Arabidopsis thaliana: one gene and its partners. The protein of the gene in region 2 interacts with the protein of the main gene of each other region in a pairwise test. Each region holds a gene or a part of one and is shown on either strand. Other genes may lie near its edges.

Region 1 (3,347 bases), on a different chromosome or scaffold from region 2:
ACCGGCGGAAGGAGATAAACCGGTGGAGGAAGACAAACCGCCACAAAAAGATAAACCGGCGGAAGGAGATAAGCATGTGGAAGAAGATATGCCTTTAGGAGGAGTTGAGCATTTGTCAATCCCTGAGATACCAAAGGTACTATATTAGTGATGTTCAAATTTTTTCGTTAATGATTTTTTCACATTTAGCAATTGCCGGGAAAAGAATTTGGATTAGCAAGATTAAACACTGTTCTGCTTTAATATTCCCTTCATAAATTAATGGTAGGTTATGGTGGTGGAGCAAAACCCAATTGTCCCCAAGTGTTGCGGCCCAAGTACTTGTACTAAAAGGTGTCACCCATTTCGATTCGCCATGGATGCTAATGCTACTAAAGCACGATCTATTTTTATGAAAGAATACCAAAAAGTCCCCCGTGTAGGAGCTTTTGCATATAAATATTTTACATCTCGTGACAAAAAATACGTAAACCATTTTCATATATGACATTTGGGACTTGGGTGGTTATTATTTTAAAGGGTACGCTTTTACCTTATAAAGAGTTCAAACGAAATTTATCATTTTGAAGGTATTAAATACTATAAGCTAATGTGTTTTTGTTTATAAATATGCTGCTATTAATGTACTTTAGAAAGCGTAAATTTCAGTTATGAAAAAACACATTAAACAGGTGGAATCTCTCAATTTGTCAGATTACCATGTTTTTTTATTTTATTTTAATATATAAAAATTGCAATCGGAATCTTAGTCGAGATTAAATAAAAATCTAAAACTCAGAACCTACTAGATTTTAATTTTTGATCAAACTAATCATATTTTTTACCACCGTAGATTTTGTATGTGTCACACACTGACTGCAATAAACAAATAAACAAAAAAGGTTTCCCTAAATAAGGAAACGAGGACTTTGTTCCTATATTGATCTAAATTTCCAAGTATCCAATTAGATCTCAACGCGTTTAGATTGGATCGAATTATATCACAAAGTTATTTAAAAAAATTATACTCTGAATTTATCGCAAATATATATAGGAGTATATATATGTAAAAACTTTGGAAGAAATAGAAATATGGGTAACTTAGGAAATATGAGATATTAACTAATATGGATGAAGATAAAAGTAAGTAAATTCCAGTTATATTAAGATTAGGATTGATATTGATAAAAATATGGGTAACTTAGGAAAGAAAATAAAAAAATAAAATCGAATATACGATTTAATATCTCTCCTAAATATCCGGGATCAATATCCAGTACATGTTTACCTGGAAAACAATCTAACGGCTGATTTTCCACGAATCCTATCTTAAGAAAATGTTAACCGTCGATTATGATCCTACGCTGATTCTGCTGGATTTTTCCTTATAATGACTTGGGTAAAAACTTCCAAATAAAACAAGATAATTAAGGAAACGCTTTATCTCTTAAGGAAAATAAAAAAATGTAAAAACACCAAGGACATTCACAAATAACAGCTCACGCATATCCGCATATATATATATATATATATATATATATATATCATTACACAAGAGAGTTTAAGGTATAAATACAATTAGCGAGATCTTGTGATTCTAATTCTTGTGATACCGAAAACATTGGTGGCGAGAGAGAGATGGTGAAGGAGACGGTGACGGTGGCGAAAACGTGCTCACACTGTGGCCATAATGGCCATAACGCACGGACTTGTCTCAACGGCGTTAATAAGGCAAGTGTTAAACTGTTCGGCGTTAATATATCGTCTGATCCGATTAGGCCGCCTGAGGTAACGGCGTTAAGGAAGAGTCTTAGTTTGGGAAACCTTGATGCTCTTCTCGCTAACGATGAAAGTAACGGTAGCGGTGATCCTATCGCCGCCGTTGATGATACCGGTTATCATTCCGATGGTCAGATTCATTCCAAGAAGGGTAAAACTGCTCATGAGAAGAAAAAGGGTACGTAATCTTCTAATCTCATCAATTTGATAATCTAAATTCAATGAAATTAATAAGAATAAATCAAATTCAGGGAAGCCATGGACGGAAGAAGAACATCGTAATTTCTTAATCGGTTTAAACAAACTCGGAAAAGGAGATTGGAGAGGCATTGCAAAGAGTTTCGTGTCGACAAGAACACCAACACAAGTCGCAAGTCATGCTCAGAAATATTTTATTAGGTTAAACGTTAACGACAAGAGAAAAAGACGTGCTAGTCTCTTTGACATCTCTCTCGAAGATCAGGTACTTATTTACCTTGTTTCTCAAGTAATCCATTGAGTCAATTGATTTGTCTAGGGCTATTTTTTAATTTAGGGTTTAATTGTTTTTTCATTAAACAGAAGGAGAAAGAGAGGAACTCTCAAGATGCTTCAACAAAGACTCCACCTAAACAACCAATAACCGGAATTCAACAACCGGTAGTACAAGGTCATACTCAAACCGAGATTTCGAACAGGTTTCAGAATTTATCAATGGAGTATATGCCAATCTACCAACCCATACCACCTTACTACAACTTTCCACCTATTATGTACCATCCAAATTATCCAATGTACTATGCCAACCCTCAAGTACCGGTTAGGTTTGTTCATCCTTCTGGTATACCTGTTCCAAGACATATACCGATTGGTTTGCCTCTGTCTCAACCGAGTGAAGCTTCTAATATGACAAATAAAGACGGTTTGGATCTTCATATCGGTTTGCCTCCACAAGCTACTGGAGCTTCTGACTTGACTGGTCATGGCGTTATTCATGTGAAATGAAATCTCATTTTTTGTGTGTTTATTTAAGCATGATATAGGTATATTGCTTCTTTTTTTTGGTGTTGAGTTTTATTTGAATATATAGCTCCATATTCAAAAGTTTTGCCAATCGGATTATGTATCATTTTTATTTCTTCCCAGATTAGATTAAATAAGAATATAGATATATTTGGATTTATATTTAGCTGCTTCTTTATCAACCAAAAACAAAACAAAAAAAATCTTAGTTTTGGTGAAGTTTATTGAGTAAAATCAACATTCATTGGGAGAAAATTAAAAAAATGGTGTTGATTAACTAGTAAAATCCTTTGATCAATTTCCTAGAAGCTCGTCTGGTTCTATCAGTGAGGTTTGGTTTGTCAGGATCTCCGAGTTCTAAGGTGGCACCCAAGAAACCGGTCTGAGTTCCATCGCTATCATTGTCGATGTCTCCTTCGATCGTCAATCCTTCAATCTTAGCCGCAATAGATTCTTCTCTCATCCCAACATCCACATCTTCAAAATTTGGATCGATGTTATAAGTGCCACAAAGAATAAAGTATCAACATGTAACAGTTACATAAAATATTTCCCAACTTCACAACCGCCAAATGCAGACATGATCT
Region 2 (3,475 bases):
AGTTAAACCAAAGGGCAGTATATATAAGAAAGAGTCGTCGCATCTTTTTTTTGGTGACTTCTGACTCGAAAACGCAAAACCACACATTTGAAAATATGCCAATTACAACTCTCTTTATCAACTAGTCTCAACAATTGTCACAAAGCGATGCACAAAAACTCTTTCAATGGTGAGAGGAGAACTCGCGGTAATAGCGGCGGGTAATGGTGAAGTCTCACTCTACATTTGGGCAGCTGTTGTGGCTTTCTCCGTCATAGCAGCCGTGATTTTCTCATGCAGTGACCGAGCTTCTAAACCTCACACTAACGACGATGTCAATGGATCCAGTTGCGCCGCTGGCTGCGGTGGTGGTTGTGGAGGTTAAACGGGAAGCATTTTTTGTTTACTTTAGTAACATTTAAAGATAAAACTATTTTGGCTTCTTGCTTTAATAAAAAAAGTTAAAGTGTGTAGATAATTTGTAGCCAATGAATGTATTCTGCTTCTTGAATTTAACATTTTAGTGATCTAGTTCGTTTTCTATGATTCAAGATAAAAATTATCAAACTAGGGTTGTAGTAATGTTTGGTACAAACGTACTATTACACGTAACATAACATCTTTGTTGTTTATTTAACTTACATTCAACAAAGAAAAAGGTTGAGCAAAACAGAACATAAATAACAGAGGAACAATGCTCAACCAAAACAGAACATAAAAAACAGGTGTTTTTACATATTGTGGCATCAAACTAAAAGTTATACATAAAACTACGTATGTATTTATGTATCTATGTACATATCTTAGTTTACAAAGACAGTCTATATAAACAGCAACGAGTCTAAAGCCGGAGGGTCTTAAAAAGCCACATAGCTAGAGCTTGTTTTAAGGTTGAGTTTGATTTGGCGGCACTGTTCCATATACCTGTGATAAAAGATTGATGGCAGAAATCAGAATCTGTGGAATCAGATTAAACTTTAATTTGATCAAACCTGAGGATATTGCGGGATATAGGTCATGTTTTGCTGAGGCATCATTGGAACTCCTGGCGTATAATAGCCCCAAGGAGACATACATGGTGCTTGAGCTGCTGCATAAAATGGTGGTGTGTAAACCGGAGTTGTTGTGTATGCCATTGACATAACCTGGACCACATCCACATAACACATAAGAACATATATACTCTAATGGATACAAGTAACTAAATTAAATTAGATATAGTTTAATGCTTACATCTACTTGATATTTCAAACTTTTAATGTATTCAATGATGTTTTCAAGCTTCGATGCAAGGTCCGGCTGTAGATAAACACACAAGAAACTCGATATTCGAAACTTGATATTGTATTAGACTCTAATATATAAAAAATATGGAGTAAATTAAGTAATAGTTAACCTTTGTGCAATGATTAGGCATCAACCCCTGCAAAATATCTACTTTATCTTTGATCTCCTTTCGTCTTTTCTACAAAGTTTAGAAAGCAAAAATATAAATTAGCTAGGGAATCACGTAAGAGAAGAAGGAGATTAAGTCATCTTCACCTTCTCCATCATCATACGATATTCCATGGAACGTTGCCGTTTAGCCATACGGTAACTTTCCTCGTCTGGCTCCTCGTCGTGTTTCTCATGATCATTGTTTTTGGTAACACCGAATATCTCTTGCAAAGGGTTTAATTCACTATGATTTTCTGAACAAAACGAATAAATAATATCAGAAAGCGAACATTGCTCTTCTTCGTGAGTCCCCTCGTTGCGGTTGTTTCTCTCCATTGATGATTGACTAAATTGAGGATTTTGAGTTTGTTAAAGAGTGAAAAGTGGAGGGTTAAGGATAAACTAGTTAGTTCAGCCATAAGCTATATATATATAGGGGAGATACAAGAAGCTTCTTTTGAAAGTTCCAACAATTGAGCGGGAAGCAAAGAAGATGATTTTGCTTCGTCCCATGGTTTTCTCTAACAATTTATTTACTCATTTTCCATTATATTATTATATTTATGTGTTCCACATTTACGCACATCCATTAGACAGAAGAAAACATATATTTTTGTTGTTTTCTTATATTTGCTTTCTTGCTCTTTCTTGAAATTCTAAGAACGGCAGGGGAATAGTGTCATTCTTGTTCATGAACGGCAGTTCTTAATCTTTAGTATTTTATTTTTCTTCTCAAGCTAGCTATGGATACAACAAATTGCATTAAAATTGGAAAAACATTATCTAGTTGGAAAAGAGAACTGTAAAACTCCTATTACAAGTTCGAACAAAAATGACATATTTCAATATTTAAGAATTATTTATTTTGATTGAGAACAAGATAAACTTTCTATTATATCAACAACATGCATGGACATGTCCATGCAAGGGCAAGAAAATGTTTCTAGTCAGAAATTTGTTTTGACCGGCTTGTAACACTGTGCAAGCTAGCTTCTGATGTGATATTTAGAACGTACGTTTGCATATATTTATCGAGTTACGTGTCTCTTCAATACTCATACATATTTTAAGGAGTCATGCACCAAAATCTTTCATATAAACATGTGCTGATCAGAGATCTTGAACTCTCTATCGAATAGCTTCGCCATCGACCCAAATACATAAGACCGTCGTCTGATTACTTCATTGAGACGGGACGTTTTTTATAGCTAGATGTACTATTTTAATTTGGGTTATTTGTGGATACATGCACACTCTCGTTACTTCTCCTTCTTAAATAAACCTCAACCATTTCATTTTTTTCTCTCAACCATTTCATTTTTTTCTCTCAACCATTTCTTCAATATCTCGTATATATTATTTGAACAATTGGAGACAGATAGAAAAAAAAAACGGACAAGCAAAACATATTTGGTTAACCTGCCATCATATGAGCGATTTGAAAGAAAAATAATATAAAATTTCGATTGCCAAGTTTAAAACTAACATTTAATTATGAATGTTTTGGGTGCAACAATGAATATATTTTTTACACTAACATCATTATAGTAACAAATATATTTAATGTTGTAAATAGATATTTGCAATATCATTCAATTTAGTTATAAAAAAAATCATTCAATTAAATTAATTTCTTAAGTTAGTTTTTGTTAAACAATTGAATCTATAACATCATTAACTATTTGTTTTGCTCAAAGATTGAAAATAAAAACAGAAAAAAAAAATGAATTTAAGATTCTCTACAGGCCCAAACCGCGGATCAAATATCTAATATTTAAATATTTATGAAAATATTTCATTTTTAAATCTTTCTTACAAATTATAAACGTTAACGAAAAAACAAAAAAACGTTAACGAGATATGTAAGTTAAAAAAAATCACTTATATATGTTTATCATTTTAGCTACAAAGTTTTTTTTCTTTAAAACAATATTAATATAGTTTTTTTGCCAAAATAATAATATTTATATTATTTATTTTATTTTAGATATAATATAATATATTTCAACACATTTTTTGTTTATGTTCGGAACAATCCTTAGTTTCACAATATAGCTAG
Region 3 (3,763 bases), on a different chromosome or scaffold from region 2:
TTCTAAGGAGAATGTTGAAATTTATTAATTTAAGTTTGATTTTTATGAAATAAAGAGAGGAAAGGAATATTGAAGAATGAAGAAGAAGACAAAACAGGAGAGAACAAAAGAGTTACAAAACACAAAACCACACAGCTTATTCTGTGCCCATTCTGTTTTGTTTGCTTCTTCTGTTCTCCTTTGTGTTTGTGTTTTTGTTTTGTTAGTATGATGTCAGGGAGGGAATTTATATACAGAAAACGTTATATAAGTTATCCAAAGTTTCGTTGATATAATCAATTAGTTACCTTGAGGGTTGATTGTGACGAAGGAGAAGGTTGGAGCCTTGGCTTCTTATTAGTAGACCCACCAATCTCTAAGCTGTTACACTGCATCACATATATAGATAACAAACAAAACAAAGATCAATTAGTCATTTAATCAAAAAAAATTCAGAGCAAAACTCATCCTGGTTGCGTGTTGAATTTAGATCCAAACCTTAAAATAAAATATGTTGTCCTGATCTTTTTAAATGACGTTTTAGATTTCACTTTTTCATAGTAGTTGATGTGTTTACTAATTTATGTGTAAAACTAGATATTATTTCCGAGCTTTTTCCGTATATTATCAAAATCTCTGAGATGTGGAAAAAGTGTTACCTCAGAGGATCGATCCGGAGGAGTGTGTCTCCCTTCTGACAAGTGAAGACCATTGTGATTGCTAGAGAAATCCAACATATTATTATTGTTGTTGATGTTATCGTCGTTACTATTGAGGCTTGTTGTGGTAGTTGTTGTAACACAAGATTTGTTAGGAGGTGAGTTCGGGGAAGATATGACATAGCCATTGTTGTTGTTAATGTTACCCTCTTGTTTGATGTCAACAGCCACCATGGAAGCTTGTTGGTGGCTTAACACTTGTTCTTCCCAATTCTCCAATCTTATCTTCCCTTGAAAACCATGGTGTTGTTGTTCATCATGATGATTATGATGGTTCATCATCTCCAATCTCTCTTCCTCTCCCATCATCAATCCACCCCTAAGTTCACAAAGAAAATATCCAAAATATTAGATTGTTTGTTTGATACTTAAAATACAAACACATACATGTATATACGTATATACGTATAACAAAAAGGTAATTAGGACTAAGTAGCAACACACGAGAAAACAAAGAGTGAACTAGTAAGTAAACACAAGATCATGTCATGTGCGTATAGAGAATATTTCATTTTGGAATATTTATAGAGGGAGAGAGATAGAGGGATAGTTACAAAAGAAGTTGGCTAAGGCTCCAAGACTCAGGAGGGAGATCATTGCTTTCAAGCCAAGAAGAGAGATTAGGGTTATTAGGCAAAGACGGTGAAGAAGAAGAGGAAGAAGAAGAAGTCGCCGGAGATGGCAAGAAGTGCGGGAAGGGAGTGGGCATCATCCGTGGTCGGAGATAATTGTTATTAGGAGTCATATGTGGTGGCAACGGCGCCTGCTGATGACCCATCAACGGTGGTGGTGGCCTCATGCCGCCGCTTACGTTCCACCAATTAGGGTTTCCGGCTGCCATCAGCTGCTGAACCGGCGAACTCTCCAACACACCTCTATTCATCACCTTTTATCTCTACTCTCTCTCTCTCTATAGATCTCTTTATGTGTTTACTAATCAGAGGCTTTGGAGAAACGTTGAGAAGTGTTTGATTCTTTAGCTTAAGTAGTTTTAGAGAAGAGAAAGAGAGAGAAAACTCAAAACTAACTTAAATTTTGATCTCATTTGATAACATGTGATGTTAATTTTTTTGGAATTTTTATTTTTGTTTTTTAATTTTGTCTTTTTCCTCCCTCTTTTTTTCGTTCCTTTAATTTTTCTTTTCTATTTTTTTAGATTTATTTGATTGTATATCATATATTTACTTTTTTCCCATGCTTTTTTCCATGCTTTAGCTTTATCTTAAAGTGGGGCAGAGAAAGGTGGTAGCTACTTTTATTATTTAAATTAATACATGAGTTGAGAAAACAAGCAGAAAATATTTTTAAATCAAAGAAAAGGATTATTCGAATATTTTATATACGGTGTATAAATTTTTCGAATATATATTACATATAATTAAATAAATTTTTGGTTATATCACAACTCACAAGTGTCTTGCATCTATGATCTATGCATTCGCCTTTTGATCGAATGTAAATGAATTATCCTTTTTTTTATCCCTATTTTTTTCATTCTTGTAACTTGTTGAATTTTGTTTTTCTGATTAGTAAGATTGCTTCTTTGATCTAACGGTTTAGATTAGCTAACTAGTTCTAAACTTGCAATGATTATATCCTGGGCCAAATACTAGTGTTTTTATTTATAGGTACTAGCCGAGCCAACAATATTTTTTTCTTTCTTTTTGCTTATTTCCTCACTGTATACTAATTAAAAGTGACAAAAAAATTCAATAAAATACGACGGCGTCGTTGTATTATATGTCACATATACCTTTAAAATCACGCAGCTATATGCTTTTTTTAATAACATAGTAATGTTTGTACTTTTAGTTTATTAGTATTTGTTTGTTTTGTTTTGTTAAATAAGTACTTGAATTCGTTAGTATGGACTTTAAAGAACACTGAGTAATAGCATTTATAAATGATTCCAATAATAAAAACTATAATTTTATAGAATAAAATAATAATAATTCCATAGTCAAAAATCATATCCAATTACAAAAAGGTAAGAAAATTAAAGACAAGAACGATTCTGGTATTATTTTCAACGAAAGATTCTATTTTTGCTGACGTAAAAAGTACTGAATTGTGTTGCGTAGGGTTTTCTGTAATTGTAACAATGCAAATACATCTAACGAACTCTGTACTTAACTAATCAATTACATAAAAACGAGTCACAACGTCGGTATGCGACTTTATTACATTTTTTTTTTCACTGCGACTTTATTACATATATGATCAAGTTGCTCTCAACATTTTTATATAATAATTAATTAGCAAAAAAAAACATTTTCTAAAAGTGATACTATATATATATATTTTTTCTCTCATTTTCGTTGAAAGGTAAAGGTAAGAACATATATGTCTTGATATCATTTCATCGTGGAATAAAGTCACTGTGGATTTTTGTATATTGTGTTTTGAAAAATATTCTCAAAGATGTTTTCAGCGTATGGAAGATGTTAGTATCAAAATAACAAAATATTTTTAACATAAACTGAGGACAAAAATTATGAGACATGTAAAAAAAAAAACTTATTTTGCAAAATTTTTAAAACATGTTATTTTAAAAAACTAAGTATAATCTTAATCAACGACTATAATTACCTTTACAGTTTTCTTTTTACTGATAATATAAAAAATATATTTCAAATCAGAGAAATTTTGTTAAAACTGTTTACTATATGTTAAATGTTCCTTGTCCTAAAATAAATAGATATACTAAACATTCTTAACATGACATAGTATTTTTTGGATTGTGTATTTACTTTAGAATGAAAAAATGTATCAAACAGTTTTCTATAGATAAGCGTAATAAAATATGTGCACATGTAGGTGCGATTGTATTTGTGTGTATACAAACAATTGTTCGTTCTTTATTTCACTCTGTTAGACACAAGATGACGAGAGCATTGTGTCATATGACGCATACACTTAATTTTAAATTCTAACCTGAACGAGTCATTTTTTTTGTCCAAGCATGATCAGAAAAATACAAATTAACAATAAATACCATTTTTTTTTGCCTACAACGAAGAAGACCAGTAATCTCGAAGGAATCAATGTCCTAGGGTTTGGAGATC

Evidence for each region.
Region 1: the proteins of AT1G68240 (region 2) and AT5G61620 interact in a two-hybrid assay, tested with the Arabidopsis thaliana proteins (one large-scale study listed by BioGRID).
Region 3: the proteins of AT1G68240 (region 2) and AT4G29100 interact in a two-hybrid assay, tested with the Arabidopsis thaliana proteins (one large-scale study listed by BioGRID).

Annotation. Positions count from the first base shown.
Region 1 is NC_003076.8:24,770,766-24,774,112, forward strand, and holds AT5G61620 (myb-like transcription factor family protein), read left to right. Parts: upstream 1-1,560; 5' UTR 1,561-1,617; coding exon 1,618-1,936; intron 1,937-2,009; coding exon 2,010-2,221; intron 2,222-2,319; coding exon 2,320-2,742; downstream 2,743-3,347. Other genes in the region: AT5G61610 (Oleosin family protein), read left to right, coding at 1-136, 269-487; AT5G61630 (uncharacterized protein), read right to left, coding at 3,038-3,237. UniProt on the Arabidopsis thaliana protein: Probable transcription factor involved in somatic embryogenesis. Acts as a positive regulator of BHLH109.
Region 2 is NC_003070.9:25,574,315-25,577,789, forward strand, and holds AT1G68240 (basic helix-loop-helix (bHLH) DNA-binding superfamily protein), read right to left. Parts: upstream 1,816-3,475; 5' UTR 1,753-1,815; coding exon 1,522-1,752; intron 1,445-1,521; coding exon 1,376-1,444; intron 1,279-1,375; coding exon 1,213-1,278; intron 1,125-1,212; coding exon 972-1,124; coding exon of another isoform or gene 966-971; exon of another isoform or gene 904-965; coding exon 865-903; 3' UTR 550-864; downstream 1-549. Other genes in the region: AT1G68238 (uncharacterized protein), read left to right, coding at 167-364. UniProt on the Arabidopsis thaliana protein: Transcription factor involved in somatic embryogenesis. Acts as a positive regulator of somatic embryo formation. Acts as a positive regulator of ECP63 by targeting its promoter and inducing its expression.
Region 3 is NC_003075.7:14,338,958-14,342,720, reverse strand, and holds the start of AT4G29100 (basic helix-loop-helix (bHLH) DNA-binding superfamily protein), read right to left. Parts: upstream 1,757-3,763; 5' UTR 1,582-1,756; coding exon 1,253-1,581; intron 1,018-1,252; coding exon 639-1,017; intron 369-638; coding exon 288-368; intron 1-287.